Linked DNA regions of Astyanax mexicanus. The protein of the gene in region 1 purifies or fractionates together with the protein of each later gene. This does not show direct contact. Links are inferred from orthologs where the notes say so. Each region holds a gene or a part of one and is shown in the gene's direction. Other genes may lie near its edges. The genes, in order: vps50 and vps51.

Region 1 (9,521 bases):
AAATAGCGGTGTTCTAAAACTTTTGACTGGTTGTATACACTGTAAAAAGATTATTCACTGTTTTACCTGAAGAAAGTTTAACTGGCTGCCTTAACATGTACATTTCATTGAATATAAATTAATGGTACAGATATAATTAGTCTGAGGACTTTTAGACATTAAGAACTTCAAGAGAAATGGTAAGTCAGCCAGTTAAACAACAGATCATTTTTTATAGTTCTTTTTGTGTCAAAATTGTTGAGCATTCGCAACAGCACTGACCTTCAGTTTCAGTGGTGTTAGTAATGACTGTCTGAAAAGCATTGTGGGAATGATGTGAGTTCTGTGTTTGTATACTGTACATGTTTGCTATCGGCCACACTGAAACCAGAGAGTATTTATGTGTTCGTACTGTTATACCAAGTGCAGCCAAGCCCTAATTCCATTGCTTTGCTTGAAATATGAATGTAAATAATATGCATTTTTTTTATTCTAATAATCTATTTTTGCACATAGCAATGACATTGTGTACTGCGGTAATCTGTGTCATAGAAATGAGATATTGTTCTTTATGTTGCCTTGAAGCAGTTTCTGCACAGATCAGTTTCTGCTGTTAGATTGTAAGATTTCCTTGCTCCTATTTTACAGTTAATAAATAAAAATGCTCTCCATTTTGAAAATAAAGATTTTAAGCAATTGCACATGAATATGAATGAAAGTGTCGTGTCCACAATGTATCCGAGGCAAGTGACAGAAGGCTTAGAACTCAGGACTGGACTCCAGCTGGGCTCACTCTTCACTTGAGTCACGACACAAACTTCTCCTGATTAAGTGATTCCATTTGTTGCAGGGTTGTTTTATCTTTGGTAATCTTTTTTTTTTTTTTTTTGCAATGTGCGGATTTTTGAATATTATCAAAATTTCAGTTCACCTAAAAGAGACCCCAGTATAAATGAATGTAGTTGATTCAGATTCACAAGACTAACTTTGTTTTCAGACAAGCTCAAATGACCAATCAAACATTTCTAGGTTCTTCAGAATGTTAAGCTGCATGTTCCTCAGTACAGTTGAATAATGATTTAAATACATAAAACCAACAACCCATAAACACCAAATTCTGTTGTTACAACTTCTAAAGAAAACCCAGCAGAACCAGAACCAAAGCTGTTCAATCAAAGTTGAACAGTAACATGTAATTGATGAAAGTTATATGAAAAATATGGTGTGATTTAATAACATTGAGCAGCTCACTACTGCATGACACAGGTTACTGCATGAACAAGGCTCTGTGTCTGCTGCTTTTCCTGTGCCAGTGTCTGCGGAAAGAGAGGCATCACGTGATAAAGCAAATCCTGGAGAGAGTAAACAGGGAGCTGACCTAGGCTAAGAGCTAGCTTTAACCAATCTGGACTATTCAATTTCATTTAAATTTATTTGTATAACACGTTTTACAACAGAAGTTGTGAGATCTGGGTCTGTTCTGTTGAGTAAGCACTAGAGCAATAATGACAAGAAAAAACTCCCTCAGTAAAAACTACATTACCTCATCCAAGATAGAGCTAAACATTAAATAAATCCAAAGTACTGGATTACTTTTTTATTAGTAGAGCTTGAGGAAGCCAAAAAACCTGTTAAAGTAAGCTAGGCTAAAGCAGTTGTAGCCAGGCAACAAAATGTAAGCTGAAAGCTTGTCTTGTACTGAGACAATATGAGGACAACAACACTGTTTGGTTAAACAAAGATTAAATTGGGAATATCATTGTTATTACAAGTTTAATAGGGCAGTCTGTATTATTTTGTTTCTAAACTGAAAGCCTAAGCATTTCTGAGTGGAGAAGGGACAACATTTTGTGTTTAGTGGTATCAGTGTGCTGAAACAACCTTCCCTGCTAAGCCTAATATATTCATTGTAAAAACTGGTGTTTTTACGTACTTATACCACACGTACAGCCTATAAAAGAGGATCCGGCTCCGTTTTACTGAACTCAAGCGGCTGGTGGAGCAATGGAGACTTCAGAAGGGGAAACTCAGAGCTCAGTAGCTCATTCAACCATAATAAAACCAAACAAACGAAGAAGTGAAGTTTCTGAGCAGGCTCACTCTCTCTCTAAATGAACATAACATGGAATTGGATTCATCTGCTCTGAAATCACACCTGTCCAGTTTAAAATGATTCTTCCGCATGCTCGGTGCAATTACCCATTTTCACTAGAGAGGGTCCTAAATCCTTAAATAAAATCTCTGGTGTGAAATACACTTGTGGTCTGTTGAAACAGGATAATAAATACTAACTTTGGTTGAATAGCTCACCTCCAGCATTCCAAAATACAGCTCTTTTAGTTGATGCCTCCAACAGGCTTACAATGCTAGCGTTAGGGGCATATCATTGACCACAAGTTTATTTCACACTGGATTTCTCCTTTAAAGTTGTGATGATATGTGGGTTTAGCAAGTTTTGATGGAGGTGAAAAGCACTGAATACAATCTGAGCACAAAATTTATGTTTTTTCTATTTACAAACTCTTAGTAAATGAAATAATACATGTTTCTGCCACAGGATTGTAAATAGGATTGTCATCTGAGCTTTTTTTCACCTCAACCAAAGTCACATAACACATTACATAGTCACAAATAGGCAATAACTGCTTTTGTTCATCTTTAATTACCAGAGACTTTGCACTTTAAAGAGTGGGCACAGTAGAGACTGTTAGCCCTGAGGCTTTACTGGCAAACCGAGCACCAGGGCATTTTAATAAAAACTTGCATAATTATTCATTTGAACAATAATTGTATCTGCTTTTGTTCTTGGGGCAAGTTATTATCAGACAACTCCTATTATGAAGCGTATCTCCTTTCAGTTATTGTTAGCTGATCTAGCAAACTGATCAGAACCCTGAGGGCACATCAGTACATCACTAGTTTGCTGGACCTGAGTCGTAACACTGATACTAGCTGAACGATGCTGTTTATGTGCACAGGTTTTTATGGTGGAAGACCATCTGTTCAGTGTGTGTTTTGCAGGAGGAGCAGAGGAATTACACCTCCTCTGTCTGGAAGCTCTGCCGCTCCCTCATTTGACAGGGAAATCAGGACTAATGTCACTGACTTTTATTAACCAGGAACTGGTACCACTACTGCCTCTGTAGTGTTTACCTCACCCAGTATTTTATTTAGTAAAAGAATTATTTCCAAATAAACCCACCAGCATGCTGCTGCTTCCACTAATGTGTTTTGAGTTAAACAGTTCTTGGAACAGTAGGTGTTGAAGCATCGTGAAGAGAATGCAGTGTTTATGTTGTAAGACCTGTTGAGTAACGAGAATTTACATGGTTTAAAAAATCTGGACAATTTTTAGGATTACAGCTTAAACGTTTACAACGTTTAATCAGCATTATGTGACATTTTTAGCTTAAAATCTTAAGAATCATGATTATTGGTGAGAATTAGGGCATCTCACGTTATGTTCCCCACGATACTGATATCATGATACTGATACTGTGACAGTATTGTAGTTAATTTGTCTTACTTGACGATAAAAAACTACTAAATAAGCAAATACAAAGAATTATGGATTTATTAGTGTCAGTTTCGCACAATTAGACCAACAAATTGGGGGTTAAGTCTTAGGAAGTTTAAAGCGCCTATGTTTCAACACAAATATTAATATTTGATGCATTGCATCGACAATGTATCGCAAGTGACATGAAAATGGTAATGATATAATACATATATCAATATTTTGTTCCAATCCTTGTCATGCTTATGCTCTGCTAATGGATAATTAGATTTATATTGGTGTAGCATACAGTAGTACTGCTCAGTCATGTCAGTCTATTGGCAGGCCGAACCCAGGTATACATACATTATTCTCCGTATTACACATATACAGCCATATACACCATTTGTATTGGACATAGTGGAATTTGGTCGCCACCTTTAATCTTTCCTTGCAATGAACATAAACACACACATGAACACAGTGATATGATGTGCCCCGACTGGTGGTCAGGCATTGCTGCATTGTTCTGGGAGCAGTGAATGTTGGGGTCCTTTTCTCCAGGGCCCAGGAGTGGCTGCTCCCAGGTACTGAACCCACAAATCTACCTAACTATCATTAGTAACCCGGTGCTTTAACTACCTAGCCACAAATGCCCCATACATTGCCCCACTGTCTTTACTACATTGGAACATCAAGATTTTACAGCTGTAATTTCATACAAAAATGTTATACACTGCCTGACCAAAAAACTTTTTCTTCCCTGATGACACAGGCATATTTCAAGATGACGATGTCAGGATTCATGGGGCTGCAATAGTGAAAGAGTGATTCAGGGAGCATGAGATCATTATTTTCACACATGGATTGTTCACCACAGAGTCCAGACCTTAACCTCATTGAGAATCTGTGGGATGTGCTGGAGGAGGCTTTGTGCAGTGGTCAGACTCTACCATCATCAATGCTGCTGCAAGATCTTGAAAAACATAAATTCAACACTGGATTGAAATAAATCTTGTGACATTGCAGAAGCTTATTAAAACAATGACACAGTGAATGTGTGCCACAATCAAAGCTAAAGGCGCTCCAACAAAATATTCGAGTATGTAACCTTTTTTTTTTTTTTTAAGTTGCTTTAAGTTTTTAATAATAGACATTTTATCATTTACTATTTTACCTTATGCTGATGGTTCAATACAGTTCACACAAAACCTCACTGCATGGACTGTAAACCAAGGAATGCCCAAGGAAAGACAACCTGCAGAGGAATGACAAAACACTGATGGTAAGTGAGGAGGAACATGCCCAGTGTGCATTCCCAGTGCCAGCGTCCAATCAGATAGTTGTGAGTTTTATTCAACAAGTCTCTGCTGCCCAAATATCAGGTCAACACAGATCACCATATTCAATTTATATTAAATAACATAACAGTTTTTGAGTACAGTTTTTAGAGTATCTTGCTTATAATAAGCAAGGAATAAGCAAGATAGTACTGTTCGGAATCTATCTCTCAATATATTTTTTAAATATCTATATTGATTCCAGCAAGTTTCCTTGGTATATTTTTTGCACTGATGACCAATTATTCAACCACTTTACAATCAAGACTTTGTTGAATAAAGATCAAACAAATCCTAATATCTCACTGTCTGCATTTTATACTGTTCATTCATTGTTACACTGCTGCCATCTGCTGGCGATAAAGAGCAACAGCATTTTTTTTCAGAGACCAAATTATTGGTTTGTATTGTCACTGTCAATCACCCAGCCCAGGTAGTTTGGGAAGGAAAAGCAGCTAACAAAAGCTCAGCACTTCTAGAACTCCTTTCACACACACCTTAATCCTAGGTTACATGAGTCTGCTAGTGTAACCTCATTATATCCAGATGAAGAGATTTATCTGGAAAGATTTTTTTTTAAAGATGACAGGCTGAAATGAAAACAAATGAAATTTAAATAGGAGTAACTAGGTATTTTTTTTTACCTATAAGAATCCAAATAAATTTCTGAATATAGAGGCTAAATTCAAAACTAAATTAGATAAATTCAGTAAGCATAACATTCATGTTTTTTTCTTATTGTTCAAAAAATCAGGTCAGAACTAGTTCTATGGAACCTAAAACATTTAAAAGCATTTAAATGGTTAAATAATTTGAACATGTGTGTTCAAGCAAATGATAAACTTCTACAGTTAATATATCTATGTTTTAAATAATATGTGGCACATACATCACAATGGGTTCAAATGTAAGGGTTAGAAACTACAGATAACTGTGTGAAAATGTAAGGAGTAGATGTAGAATTATTACTCCAGTAAAGTAACGTTATAGATATAACCAACATTTCTAATTTTGTATTTCTAATGTTTATGCTTCATTACCTGACTGCGCTGTCTCTGGGCTATCTAAACTACACAACCCAGAATGCACCACTGACCCTGCCCGGTCACGTGAGCACAGAGAAACATGGCAGCGGTCTGAGAGAGAGAGGTGTATTGAGAGGCTGTGTGAAACATTAGTGCAGTAGGATCCGCGGAGCTGGATTTACCCCCGTGCTGAGCTGTAAGATGCAGAAGATCAAGTCTCTGATGTCCCGCCAGGTGAGCAGCGCTACAGCGGTACAGCTCAGTCTGTGAGATATATAGAGAAAGAGGGATAGAGAGATGAGAGAGGACCGGAAGTGTAGTTAGCCAGGTGATAAACAGATGATGCTAGCGGCGGAGAGCACAGCGGTGCAGCTCTGAACCCGGGCATGAGCAGAGAGCCGGGCATGTTTATAAACATGCGGTTATCTGATTTTACAAATAAAAAACAACCTGGAATTGTTTACAAGCTTTTAGCTTTAGTGTGAGTGAGCAGAGGAGCGAGTAGAGCTGACTCAGGGGCTTCCACTGCGTTTAACCAGCAGAGGAATAATAATAATAATAATAATAATAATAATAATAATAATAACAACAACAACAACAACAACAACAACAACAACAACAACAACAACAACAATAATTATCTGTCTGCCTAATATTAGGCATTAGCTAATTAGTTAACTTACATTGGTTGTCATTGTGTAGCTGTAGTCGTTCATATTCAGTTGTTCAGCTTGGGTTTTGAGTTTTAGCGGTTAGTTTAAGAAAAGCAGTTTTTTATCGTATCTTGCTATCCCCTTCCTCTTTCTCTCTCTCTCCCCCTCTCTCAGCATAGTATTAAACATTACATTAGCATTGTGTTTATTGTGTATCTGTAGAGGTTCATGTTCAGTTGTTCTCTCTCTCTCTCTCTCTCTCTCTCTGTCTTTCTTTCTCTTTCTCTCTCTCTCTCTCTCAACATACTGTTAAACATTACATTAGCATTGTGTTTATTGTGTATCTGTAGAGGTTCATATTTAGTTGTTTTCTCTCTCTTTCTCTCTCTCAGTATAGTATTAAACATTACATTAGATGTTAGCATTGTGTTTTTTTGTATCTGTAGTGGTTCATATTTAGTTGTTTTCTCTCTCTTTCTCTCTCTCTCTCTCTCTCTCTCTCTCTCTCAGTATAGTATTAAACATTACATTAGATGTTAGCATTGTGTTTTTTTTGTATCTGTAGTGGTTCATATTTAGTTGTTTTCTCTCTCTTTCTCTCTCTCTCTCTCTCTCTCAGTATAGTATTAAACATTACATTAGATGTTAGCATTGTGTTTATTTGTTGCTGTAGTGGTTCATATTCAGTCGTTCAGCTTTAGGGGTTTTGGGTTTTAGGGTTAGTTTAAGAAAGCCTTCGTTTTTTATGCTAGCTTGCTACCCCCTTCTCTCTCTCTCTGGCTCTGTTTTAATGCTTGTTTACTATCCCTCTCCTGTCTTTCTCACAGCATGTTAGCTTTACACATTTCATTAGCCTTGTGTTTATTGTGTATATGTAGAGGTACATACTCAGTTGTTTAGTTATAGAAAGGCTTCATGTTTTTATGAAAGTTTACTATCCCCTCTCTCTCTCTCTCTCTTTTAGCATATTATTAAACATTACGTTGGTTAGCATTGTGTTTATTGTGTATCTATATTGGTTCATATTCAGTTGTTCGCTCTCTCTCAGCATAGTATTAAACCTTATCTACATTAGCTATCATTGTGTGTGTAGCTGTAGTGGTACACATTCAGTTGTTCAGCTTGGGTTTCTGGTTTTAGGTTAGTTTAGAAATGAAACTCTGTTTTCATGCTAGCTTGCTATACACACAGCATAGTATTAAAAATTACATTAGCATTGGGTTTATTGTGTAGCTGTAATTGTTCATATTCTGTTGTTCTCTCGTGCTTTCTCTCTCTCTCTTGTTCTCTCAATTTCACCCTCACAGCATAGCAACATATATTACCTAAGTTAGCATTGTGTTAATTTGTAGCTGTAGTGGTACACATTCAGATCTGCTCAGTTAGTTAGTTTAAGAAAGTCAATGTTTTTATGCTAGCTTGCTCTCTCCCTCCACTTTGTCTTTTTCTCAGCATCAATATTACATTGGTTAGCATTGTGTTTAATTGTAGCTGTATGGGGACATATACAGTTGTTCAGCTTTAGGGATTTTAGAAGTTTTTATGCTAGCTACCTACTCCCATCCATTCTCTCTCTCTCTCTCTCTCTCTCTCTCTCTCTCTCTCTCTCTCTCTCTCTCACACATTCCCTCTCATTCTCTTACTCTCTCTATCCCTCTCACAGCATAGTAATAAGTAAGTATACATTGGTTAGCATTGTGTTTATTTGTAGCTGTATCGGTACACATGCAGTTGTTCAGCATTAGGGATTTTAGTGATTAGTTTATGAATAATTTAATGTAAATGCTAACCGATTAACTGATGGTGGTGATTTTGTGTTTTTCCCTAACAGGGCTTGAAAAGCCCTCAGGAGAGTATGGCAGATATGAGCCCTGTAGAGAACTTCAGGATCCCCAGCAAGGTGAGTTGGATAAGTATTTCTTCATACAGATTACTTAACCTAGGAAGTGTGACTGTGCATAGTAACAGTTACAGTTGCACTTTACTGTAGCATTTTACTTCATCACCATAATGCAACATGAATTGTCATCTAGAAAATAGGAACATGTTGTTAACGGATTAAACTCAGCAGTTGCTTTCTGCTCTAGTCTGCTTTCACGTAGCTCTAGACTGAGTAAACAACTTGAGGCCTAGCCCCTTTTATCTGATATGGCTGATAGAGGAAAGCATTAAATCAACTGCACTAGCGTATTTTGTTCCATATGATAATTTCCTGTGTTCCCTCAGATCTCCTTAGAACTGAGCTCTTTGCATTAGGCTACAAAGTACTGATTACATAGAGATAATGCTACTGATATTGCCATTGCTGTTTAAACAGCTAGTAATGTCCATATGGCTGTCCAGTATATAGTGTTATGTTATTGTTTCTATTTTGCCCTTAAATAACTATTCAATGTGGTATATGATGGGACAGTTTCAGTCCTGCTTGCCAGTGGAAGTGCTTTTTTTAATCATGCCAGCCTTTAGTTACAAAGGATGCTATGATGTTTTTAAGTCTTTTTTAGGACCATTTGGCCTGATTTGCCCACAGTTTTACTTCAGCTTTTTCAGAACTCTGCTTTAGAGACTGAGGAAGTAAGTGTCAAAAAGAATAATTTACCCATTACGCTGTGTGTCACCTCAATATATGCATATACTGTACGTGTACACTTCTTTTCGCATAATTTTAGTATATATATATATATGCTGTAGTAAATGGCATTAGTTATTTGTGCAGCTAGAGGGTAGTCTCACCTTATACAATGGAAAGTGTGATGAAGGTTTTTGACACACAAGGTGAATGGTGCCTGCACAGTACACTGTTCTATTGTATGTGGGAGTTAGGGGTGGATGATATGGCATATTCCAACATTTAATTTTTTATATTTTTATTATTCATTTTAAGAATATACTATTGCAACAAAATAAACATTAAAGTTTAATGTATTATAAATATTTTTGTCTATTTCATAAAAAGTAACTTACTAAGAATTGTATTAAAAAATAATAGCGTGACAAAATAAGGTAATGTTAAAAAAAAAGCATAAAT
Region 2 (9,591 bases), on another chromosome or scaffold:
AGATTGATATTTTTCATAGATTTGGTTTCTTTGCAGGTAAGAGCAAAGTTGTTGGGCTACAGCTTTTTCTAAAATCTTAGAAATAAAGGGTAAGTTTGAAATAGGTCTATAGTTAGACAGTAAAGTAGGTTTCTTGATCAGAGGTTTAATTACAGCTGTTTTAAAGGCTTTGGGTACATGGCCCAGGGTGAGCGATGAGTTTACTATCATTAACAGAGGTTTAATTATATCTGGTAGTACCTGTTTTAGTAATTTTGTGGGAACAGCATCAAGTGTGCAGGTTGTGCTGTTTGAAGAGGAGATAATTTTCTCTAGTTCTAGCTGTGGAAGTGGGTTAAAGACTTGCAACCTAACTTCGGTGACAGGGTTTTGTTCTAGATCAGCCAGACCAGATGACAGAGAGGATGTAATATTTATCTGTTTAATTTTATCCCGAATGTTTTAAATTTTACTATTGAAGAAGTCCATAAAATCGTTGCTGGTGTGAATGGCTGGAATCTGAGGTTCAGTACCTGCCTGGCTTTTAGTTAATTTGGAAATAACACTAAAGAGAACTCTAGGATTATTTTTATTTATCTCGATCTGTGAGGCCAGATATGCTGAGTGGGCTTTATAAAGTTCTTTTCTATATTTAACAAGACTGTCTTTCCACGCAGAGTGAAACACTTCCAGTTTAGTTGAACAATATTTACGCTCTAAATTTCGTACTAACTGCTTTAAGGTACGAGTTTGATCATTGTACCACGGTGCGAGCTTTTTCTGTCTCTCTATTTTGTGTTTAAGGGGTGCTACAACATCTAAGGTAGAGCGAAAGGTATTTTCTAAACCTTTGGTTAGTTTGTCTAGTTCTACTGGGTCTATAGGAGAATATATTAGAGTTGATAAGTCTGGAAGCTTATCTGTAAATTGTTGGGCTGTAAACTATCCACCTCCAAAGCTCAGCTTGGAACAGTGAGAATGCTTATGTCAACAAATATCAAAACTATTCTGAACACAAAGCTATTTATTTGAGCATAACATGGTATTTTTGTCTCTTTCGTTCAAGATGGCTGTTAAAGATTTATACTAGGTTCACCTAAAAAAACAAATTGAGAAGTGTGATCTACAAAAGGAACACATAAAATGGCAAATAAAACAGACAAGACTGGAAATGTGAGAGTAGTTGCTGTGAGTGTATATATCTGTTTTTACCAAGAATAAGGACAAGAAAATTCACTTGTTGGCTTTTTTTTTTCTTTAGGAAATAAATAAATCAAAAACATAGGCCTGATCAAATTTACGGTATAGTGCAGACTCTCGAAAAATCTTTGCATCATGTACAGAGCATGGCTATTTGGCTTCAGCATTAGTAATGTTGGTAGCATCACATATAATCTTAATAGTGGAGAAAATATGTTTTTGTAATGTATTAAGTATTAGTCCTTATACAATACTTGTATATTAATGCTGTGGAAGTATTTGCTGTTTACATAATCCCCTTCATTTTTGCCAGGTGCTTTAATTGGAATGTGGATTCACACATAACCAATCTGACCACTGTGTATATTCCCAAGAGTCAAAAGAAGGGAAAGTGATGATAATTGTATGGGTTGATGACTTAATTATCGCTGCAAGCGATGAAGAGAAACTGAAAAATGTGAAAGGGATGCTTGCAGAGCAATTCAAGATGAAGGATTTGGGTAAACTCAAACATTTTCTTGATATTGATGTCACAAGAGAAGTACATCAACAAAATTCTACAGCGTTTCAACATGTCAGAGTGTAGGGTGAGAGAAACCCATTGTGAGTAAAAGCTCGAATACAGTGGTGATGCAGTTAAATGACAGACATCAGGATGTAGAGAGAGGCCGTGGGCAGTCTGATATACCTAACAACCTGCACTAGGGCTGATCTGAGTTTTGTGGTGAGAAGGCCGTCACAATACCTAGCTGAGCCTACAGAGAAGCAATGGGTAACTGTGAAGCATGTCCTGTGATACGTTAAAGGTACAGCAGACAAAGGTTTAACCTTTAGGAGAAACAACACTGAGAATCTTGGTATACAAGCCTACAGTGATGCAGACTGGGCGGCTGATACTAGTGATCGCCGCAGTACCTTCTGTTGCACTTTCCATATGCGAAGCACAGTATATGGCACTTGCTTCTACTGTTCAAGAGTGTCTTTACCTAGAAAAATTACTGGGGAATATGGATAGTTAAAAATACACTCAAACGGTAATACATGAAGACAATCAGGGAACAATTGCTCTTGCCAGAAACCCTGTAAACAGAAAGCGTTGAAAACACAGACATTAAGTATCTCTTTATTAGGTCTACTGTGAATGAGGGTGAAGTAAAATTTAATGTATTGTGTTACTGATAAAATGGTCGCTGATGTGATGACGAAACCTGTAAGCAAGTTTAAACTGAGAAATTTTGCAGGTTTTCCTTTTGGTGTTTAATATGTGTAAGCCAAGGGTACACATTCGTTGAATTTTTGTTTTGTTGTTACCAACCTGAGTACAGTGGGGGTGTTAAAATGTATGAAAAAAAATATGTCCTCAGGTTACATGACTTGTAAATACTGTTATGTTCTCTTAGTGTTGTACCCCTGACAATGGGAAGGAATAAAGAGAGACTAGATTGTGATGTTTCCTCTTGTGCTGTATTGTAGAGAATCTTTTTCATAAAGTACAAAACAACTCAAAAGCAAAATTGTCTTTCAGTAGGTATCTTTCAGCATTAACAATTGCTTTATACTACAGAGAAACATTAACTAAACTTCCTTGCACAGTATACAACATTGTTGAACATTGTTTACAGAGAGATAGAATATAGATAAAATAAAAAACATATTTATGCATATAATTACTGGAACAGGCCAATATTCAATCCCTGTAGCAATATTTGTTCTCATAAATCCCTGCTTAAACATGCACCCCATGCTATTGTATAAACAATTAAGCAGGCCTAAGAACAATAAGCTACTGCTAACCACATGCTCAGTCTGCTACACACAGTAGTGTTTTTAGCATATTTATCTCACTCAAAACTTTCAGAAAAACAAAACAACATGTTCTCTAAACAGAGCACTTTTATGTTCATGGGTGAATCTACCTTTTTTTATACATATTTACCTGACAATGGGAAGGAATAAAGAGAGACTAGACTGTGATGTTTTCTCTTGTGCTGTATTGCAGAGAATGAGAAAACACATCAGAGCGCCCCCTTAAGTTCCTCTTAGAAATAACTTCCCCACTGAAAGGACTGACAAGAGCTCCCCCTATTGTCCACTTATACACAAACCATCTTTTTCATAGTAGCTAAATCCTTTTAGGACTCTGATAAGAATAAAATCACCATTTTTCACTCAAATAACTTTTATCTAAATTAATCTCTGCTGTATAAACTCATTTGAGTCTTCTATTCTTCCTGTGCAATGCATGACTTTTTAGCCTTTTTACTAAAGTTAACATGAATAAACTAAACAAGGAAACAACATTAACATAATTAACCTAATTTAATCTTTTTTAACCCACACTGTCTTTGTATATTTAACTCTTTTTAACCATTTTTACCCACACCGTGTATTTTTAGATTATTTACCTCTTTTAACTCATGAATGTTATTATATATACCACATTAGCGACACTAGAGGGCGCAAGAACACAAAAAAAGAGTAATGTGTGAACGTTCATGTTGTATTTTGGCACAATGTCGGACACTTTTCACATGTATAAGTCAGTCTTATGTTTGCTTATGTTTCTATGCTCACGTGGCTGTAAATATAAATTTAATTTGCAGAATATATTAACCTTAAAATAGCCTACAATGTCACTGTAGGCTCAAGTGCACACAAGTAATATATTAACCAATAAAGCGTTTTTTTCTTCTTCTGGTAATTATATTTTTCTGGCAGTGCAGTGCAGTACTGTGCTTAAAAGCTATTGTCAATGCCCTCTGACATTGAGAGTGTGCAGGGCCCAGAATTTGCTGCTACACCCCTGTAGCTGAGGGTACACCAGAGTATCCTAACCAGGAAGTCTTTTAAGGAATTTGGAGTGACATAGCTGTGGACACGCCCACAGAGCACACTTATTTCATGAAATAATTATTTATTTACTGATATATATTTGAATTGTGTATATGTAGAAATCATATAACGTTATAAAACGTGATTATAGAAAAATATATTTACTTATTATGAAAAAAAAGATAAATATAACATTAAATAACACACAAGGCACCCACTTTTATCTAATTGGCAAATATGTAATAACATTTTAGAAATCCAGTGTTTTTTTTTTTTTGCAATGAGCAGGAGTTTAAATATCCAATTAATACAAATTAAGGGTGACCGTATATTTGCTGACTGTTTGCAGCAGCTGTGTATGACTGGACATTCAGTATTAGAGCTGAAAGCGAGTGTTGTGATTGGCTCAGTTTATTAGCAGTCAAAATAATATCTGAAAGGAATCAGCTGTCCCATTTTTTGCTGAAGTTATGTGGGCCGTCATGTGTGAGGGCTGCATGTGCATGTGGGTTTCCTCCGGGTACTCCGGGTTCCTCCCTCCCACAGACCAAACTGCTTCTGCTGTTTTTTCTTAGTTTTGCATGATAGTGCTGTTTAGGTACTAAATTTGATTAATTTTTCTTTTGCATGATTTGCAGTTTTCCATAGTTTGCAGTTCATAATTCAATCGCATGTTCAGATTTCAGTATTTATTTATTTATGTTTATTCATGAAACAAAAAAAAACAAGCCGTGTAAATATTTAATTACTAACTCCATTACTAATTATTCTATCAATATTTAGTGAAATGGTGTTTCTTACCTCTAACAGGTTGGTTCGATTCGGATAATTCATTCGTTTTTCACAAAAAACAAAAACAAATACAAACTTTTTTTTATGTTAATGTTTTTAAAGACCAACATATAAAACATAATATTTTTACATAACATTAAAACATAACACTGCATGTTGTTTTAGGGAAATATGGTGAAAAGTGAGTATTTTCCTTTTTATTAGAGATTCTCCTCTTTAAGAATGTTCTCTCTATTAGAGATATCCTCTCTATCTAAAATTCTTCTCTCTATTAGAGAATATGCTCTCTATTAGAGATTATTTTCTTTATTTAAGATTCTTCTCTCTATTAGAGATTCTCCTCTCTATCTAAGATTCTTCTCTCACAACTTTGTAATACAAAACTAATTTGTATTTTGTACTAAGTTTTTTTTTCTTGTGGACTTTTATTTTGACAGTTAAGGATCGCCATTTCCCCGCTGCTAGATTCTGTGACGTTCTGCTGGGAATCCGGTAACCCCGCATTACTGCGGTAGGTGTTCCGAAAACTGGAGAGTTCATTGCGTTATTTTTGCTCCGGTTTTGGGTTTATTAGTGTGTGTTTATCGTGGGATGGAGGTCGACTCGGGCAGCTCCTCTCCGGGCCGGAAGCGGCGGCTCCTCCGACTGTACTACAGTTCAGGCCCGGAGCCGCCGCCGCAGCAGCAGGAGCCGGAGCCCTGCGACATCAATGGGGCTCACTTTGACCCAGAGATTTACCTCAATAAGGTACAGCTAACACACCGACTTCCATATATAATAATCAGTCATATTTACAGCAGCTACTACAGTCCATTCACAAATTAACCCCCGTATTTGAAATAAGTACCGGTATACCATTTCAGTAATTACAATTTTACTGTAGGAATTTTATTAAATTCACATATTTACTCCAGTAGTTACTTAAACATACGTTTTTACCTCACTATTACCAGCAAAAAACATAATCACCGCAGCAATTATAGTCTAAAAAATACATTTTATTTATCTATGTGTAATAATTTTGTTGGCTTTTTAACAAATAATGAATAAGTGTGCATGTTGTCTAGCTGAGGAAAGAGTGTTCTCTGGCAGAGCTGATGGATCAGGAGAGCTGTATGGTAAAACAGATAAGATCCCTCGACAGCGACATGCAGACACTTGTTTATGAAAACTACAATAAATTCATTTCTGCAACAGGTTAGTAAATTGAGCATAGTTTTATTTACCTGACATTAAGTTTCAGTCTGAAAGCTTGTCTACTGCTCTATTTTAAATGTAAACAATATTATAACAATATTTACTGTCCTCAGACACAATCAGGAAGATGAAGAATGACTTTAAAAAAATGGAGGATGAGATGGACTGCCTGTCTACCAATATGTCTGCCATAACTGAGTTCAGTGCGAGGATCAGTGGAACGCTGCAGGACCAGCACACCCAGATCACAAAACTGTCAGGCACGGAAGACATTCCTTCATAGACCCACCTGTCCATCAGATATTGACACCTGTTTCTCTAGATGAACTGTTGTTCTTATTCTTATTTGTCTTCTCTCGTCTCCCATTTTCCCTCTGTCTCAGCGCAGGTGTTCACACTCTCCTGCGGAAGCTGCAGTTTCTGTTTGAACTGCCGGCGAGGCTGAATAAGTGTTTGGAGCTGCAGGCGTATGCTCAGGCGGTGAGCTCTCACCGGCGGGCACGCTGTGTGCTTCAACAGTACAGCCACATGCCCTCTTTCAGGGGCATCCAGGATGACTGCCACGCCATCATGGAGCGACTTGCACACCAACTACGGCAGAAATTCAGGTTTGATGGGGCAACAAATACTGTGTAACTGTGATGGAGATTGAACATTATCTCTGTTATGTCAGTTTACATTTTTATATTGACCTGTTATTTACCTGCCTTTTAATAACTCGATATCTAATGGCTTATTTTTAGAGAACAATCATAACTTAACATCTTACAGCTTTTTCAAAATCAGTACCAGAAGAGACTATATTTTACTGCATTCTGTACCACCGTATTTACACACAACTGCATGTTCAGAATGTATAAAAATACCCATAAGAAAGCAGATAAAGCATTATAGCGCTTAAAAGAGAAATTAAAGAAAAATTACAGAGATAAAACCAGATTGTGGTGTGTACAGTTTTCTACACCGCCACTGAAAAAATAGAGAGTCCGAAAAGTTCAGACTGAATTGTCTCATTCATCACATTATTAACATCAGCATTCTAAGACTTATTTATCCAACTTACTGAATATTTGAAACTTTTTTCAGAAATAAAAACAGAAAAGTGGGGCGTGCAATATTATTCAGCCCTCTTGCATTAATACTTTATAGTGCCATCTTTTGCTGCGATTACAGCTGTAGATTGTCAATTTTGCTTTATGTTTTGGATCATTGTCTTGTTCGAAGATAAATCTCTGACCCAGACTCCAGACGTTTGCAGACTCCAGCAGGTTTTCTTTTAGAATGCTCCTGTATTTAGCTCCATCCATCAATTTTAACCATCTTCCCTGTCCCTGCTGAAGGAAAGCAGGACCAATCCAGGATGCTGCCACCACCATGTTTCACTTTGGGGATGGTGTGTTCAGGGTGAGCAGTGTTACTTTTCAGCCACACTTTGTATTTAGGCCAAAAAGTTCAACTTTGAATTGTTTGATCACAGCACCTTCTACCACATGTTTGCTGTACAAACAGCACTTCTTATGTCTTTCTTTCAGCAGTGGCTTCCTTATTGCCACTGCTTCACAAAGGCCATATTTGTGGAGTGCACAACTTATTGTTGTCCTGTCAACAGATTCTTCCTCCTTAGCTGTAGATCTCTGCAGTTCATCCAGAGTGATCATGGGCCTCGTGGCTGCATCTCTGCTCTTCTCCTTGTTTGAGCTGAAAGTTTAGAGGGACGGCTGGGTCTTGGTAGATTTGCAGTGGTCTGATACTCCTTCAATTTCAATATGATCGCTTGCACAGTGCTTATTGAGATGTTTAACACTTGGAAAATCTTTTTTTAATCAAAATCCGGCTTTAAACTTTTCCACAACAGTATCTCGGACCTGCCTACTGTTTTTTGGTCTTCATGATTCTCTCTGTGCTTTAAACAGAGCTCTGAGACTATCACAGAGCAGGTGCATTTATACAGAGACTTGATTACACACAGGTGGATTCTATTTATCATCATCACTCATTTAGGTCAACATTGGATCATTCAGAGATCCTCACCGAACGTCTGGAGTGAGTTTGATGCACTAAAAGTAAAGGGGCTAAATAATATTGCACGCCCCACCTTTCAGTTTTTTATTTCTAAAAAAAGTTTAAAATATCCAATAAATGTTGTTCCACTTCAAGATTGTGTCACACTTGTTACAATACAATTTCATATATTTATGTTTGAAGCCTGAAATGTGGCAAAAGGTTGAAAAGTTCAAGGGGGCCGAAAAACGTTTGCAAGGCACTGTACGTAACTTTATACAACTGCTACTAACTACTACTTATATTTTTATTTTGTATTTGTGTTTGTAATGAGGATGTTGAATGGTTATTGTGCATTGATGCATCTTAAAGATTTCCACAATCACAGAAAATTGAGGTTGTGTCCTAAAGCCCATGCTACCACACTAAATAGTAGGGCTGGACCCGAATATTCGGGTATTCGGATATTCGTTCGTTGAGTAGGTATTCGGTTTTTAATTTTGGTATTCGGATATTCGTTTTTTTTCTCCTTTCCAGAGTTCCACCTCACTCTAACCACTTCTGTTCTCTCGGGTCCCGTCAGAATATCTTGCGCGCGGGACAGAACTGAACTGTTATTGGCTGGAGCGGGAGTTTAATCCAGACGATGCGGGAGCAAATTAATAAATAGTTAAGAAAACTGTAATAATTGTAAAAAAAAAAAAAACCTAAAGAAAACTCTCAACGCGCAGGATGGACCGACACACACACGCACACACCGATGGTGTTTGGACTGGGGTAAGGAACGGGACCACACTATTCAGCGCTGCTGTTTTAATAAATATATAAGTAAATTTGAAGCATTAAATGTAGTTTATTTAATTTATATTAGGAACGTGGGGCGGGAGCGGCAGAAATGTGTATGTGGCGGGCGGGCGCGGGATTAAAAGAAGCAATTTTTTTGCGGCGCGGTAACGAGACAGAAACGCGGGAGCGTGGAAGAGTGGGTTTAAAAATCAGTCTCGCGCAGACATGATAAAAAAAATGCAGGCTCTTCGAAACTGATTTATATAATAAAACGTAAGGGGTAATGTGGCAACAGTAGGGGCTAAATCGGTTACAAAAGCCTGGCCTACAAAAATGATGTCTGAACGAATTTCCTCTTATCTAATATAATTTAAAATGGTTTAAAAATACAAAATAATTTCTAAGCAAACGAAATATTTAATATTGAGCTTATAGCCCAAGTGCAAAAATACAAAATCAGTAATACGGCTATGCCCTGCACAATGCTTAAACCGAAATAGACCAAGTACAATAACGTCATTAACAATGACTTTCCTCTACTCTAATATAATTTAACATGGTTTAAAAATATAAAATAATTTTTAAACAAACGAAATATTTAATATTGAGCTTATAGCCCAAGTGCAAAAATACAAAATCAGTAATATGCCCTGCACGATCCTTTAACCGAAATAGACCAAGTACAGTTTACAATGACCGTCCTCTAATATAATCAACAATGTTTAAGAATATAAAATACTTCCTGAACAAACGTTTTTTTTGTTTGTTTTTTTAAGCAAATAACCTAAGTGTGAAAACACAAAC

Evidence for each region.
Region 2: the proteins of vps50 (region 1) and vps51 purify together in Homo sapiens (affinity purification with mass spectrometry; 7 studies listed by BioGRID and IntAct, counting the BioPlex papers as one, with this or other methods). This does not show direct contact. The link is inferred for Astyanax mexicanus from reciprocal best matches to the Homo sapiens genes VPS50 and VPS51.

What each region holds. Positions count from the first base shown.
Region 1 is NC_064410.1:48,235,011-48,244,531, forward strand, and holds the start of vps50 (syndetin), read left to right. Parts: upstream 1-5,917; 5' UTR 5,918-6,041; coding exon 6,042-6,074; intron 6,075-8,324; coding exon 8,325-8,393; intron 8,394-9,521.
Region 2 is NC_064427.1:12,763,301-12,772,891, forward strand, and holds the start of vps51 (vacuolar protein sorting-associated protein 51 homolog), read left to right. Parts: upstream 1-5,242; 5' UTR 5,243-5,394; coding exon 5,395-5,550; intron 5,551-5,870; coding exon 5,871-6,000; intron 6,001-6,113; coding exon 6,114-6,260; intron 6,261-6,388; coding exon 6,389-6,608; intron 6,609-9,591. UniProt on the Homo sapiens protein: Acts as a component of the GARP complex that is involved in retrograde transport from early and late endosomes to the trans-Golgi network (TGN).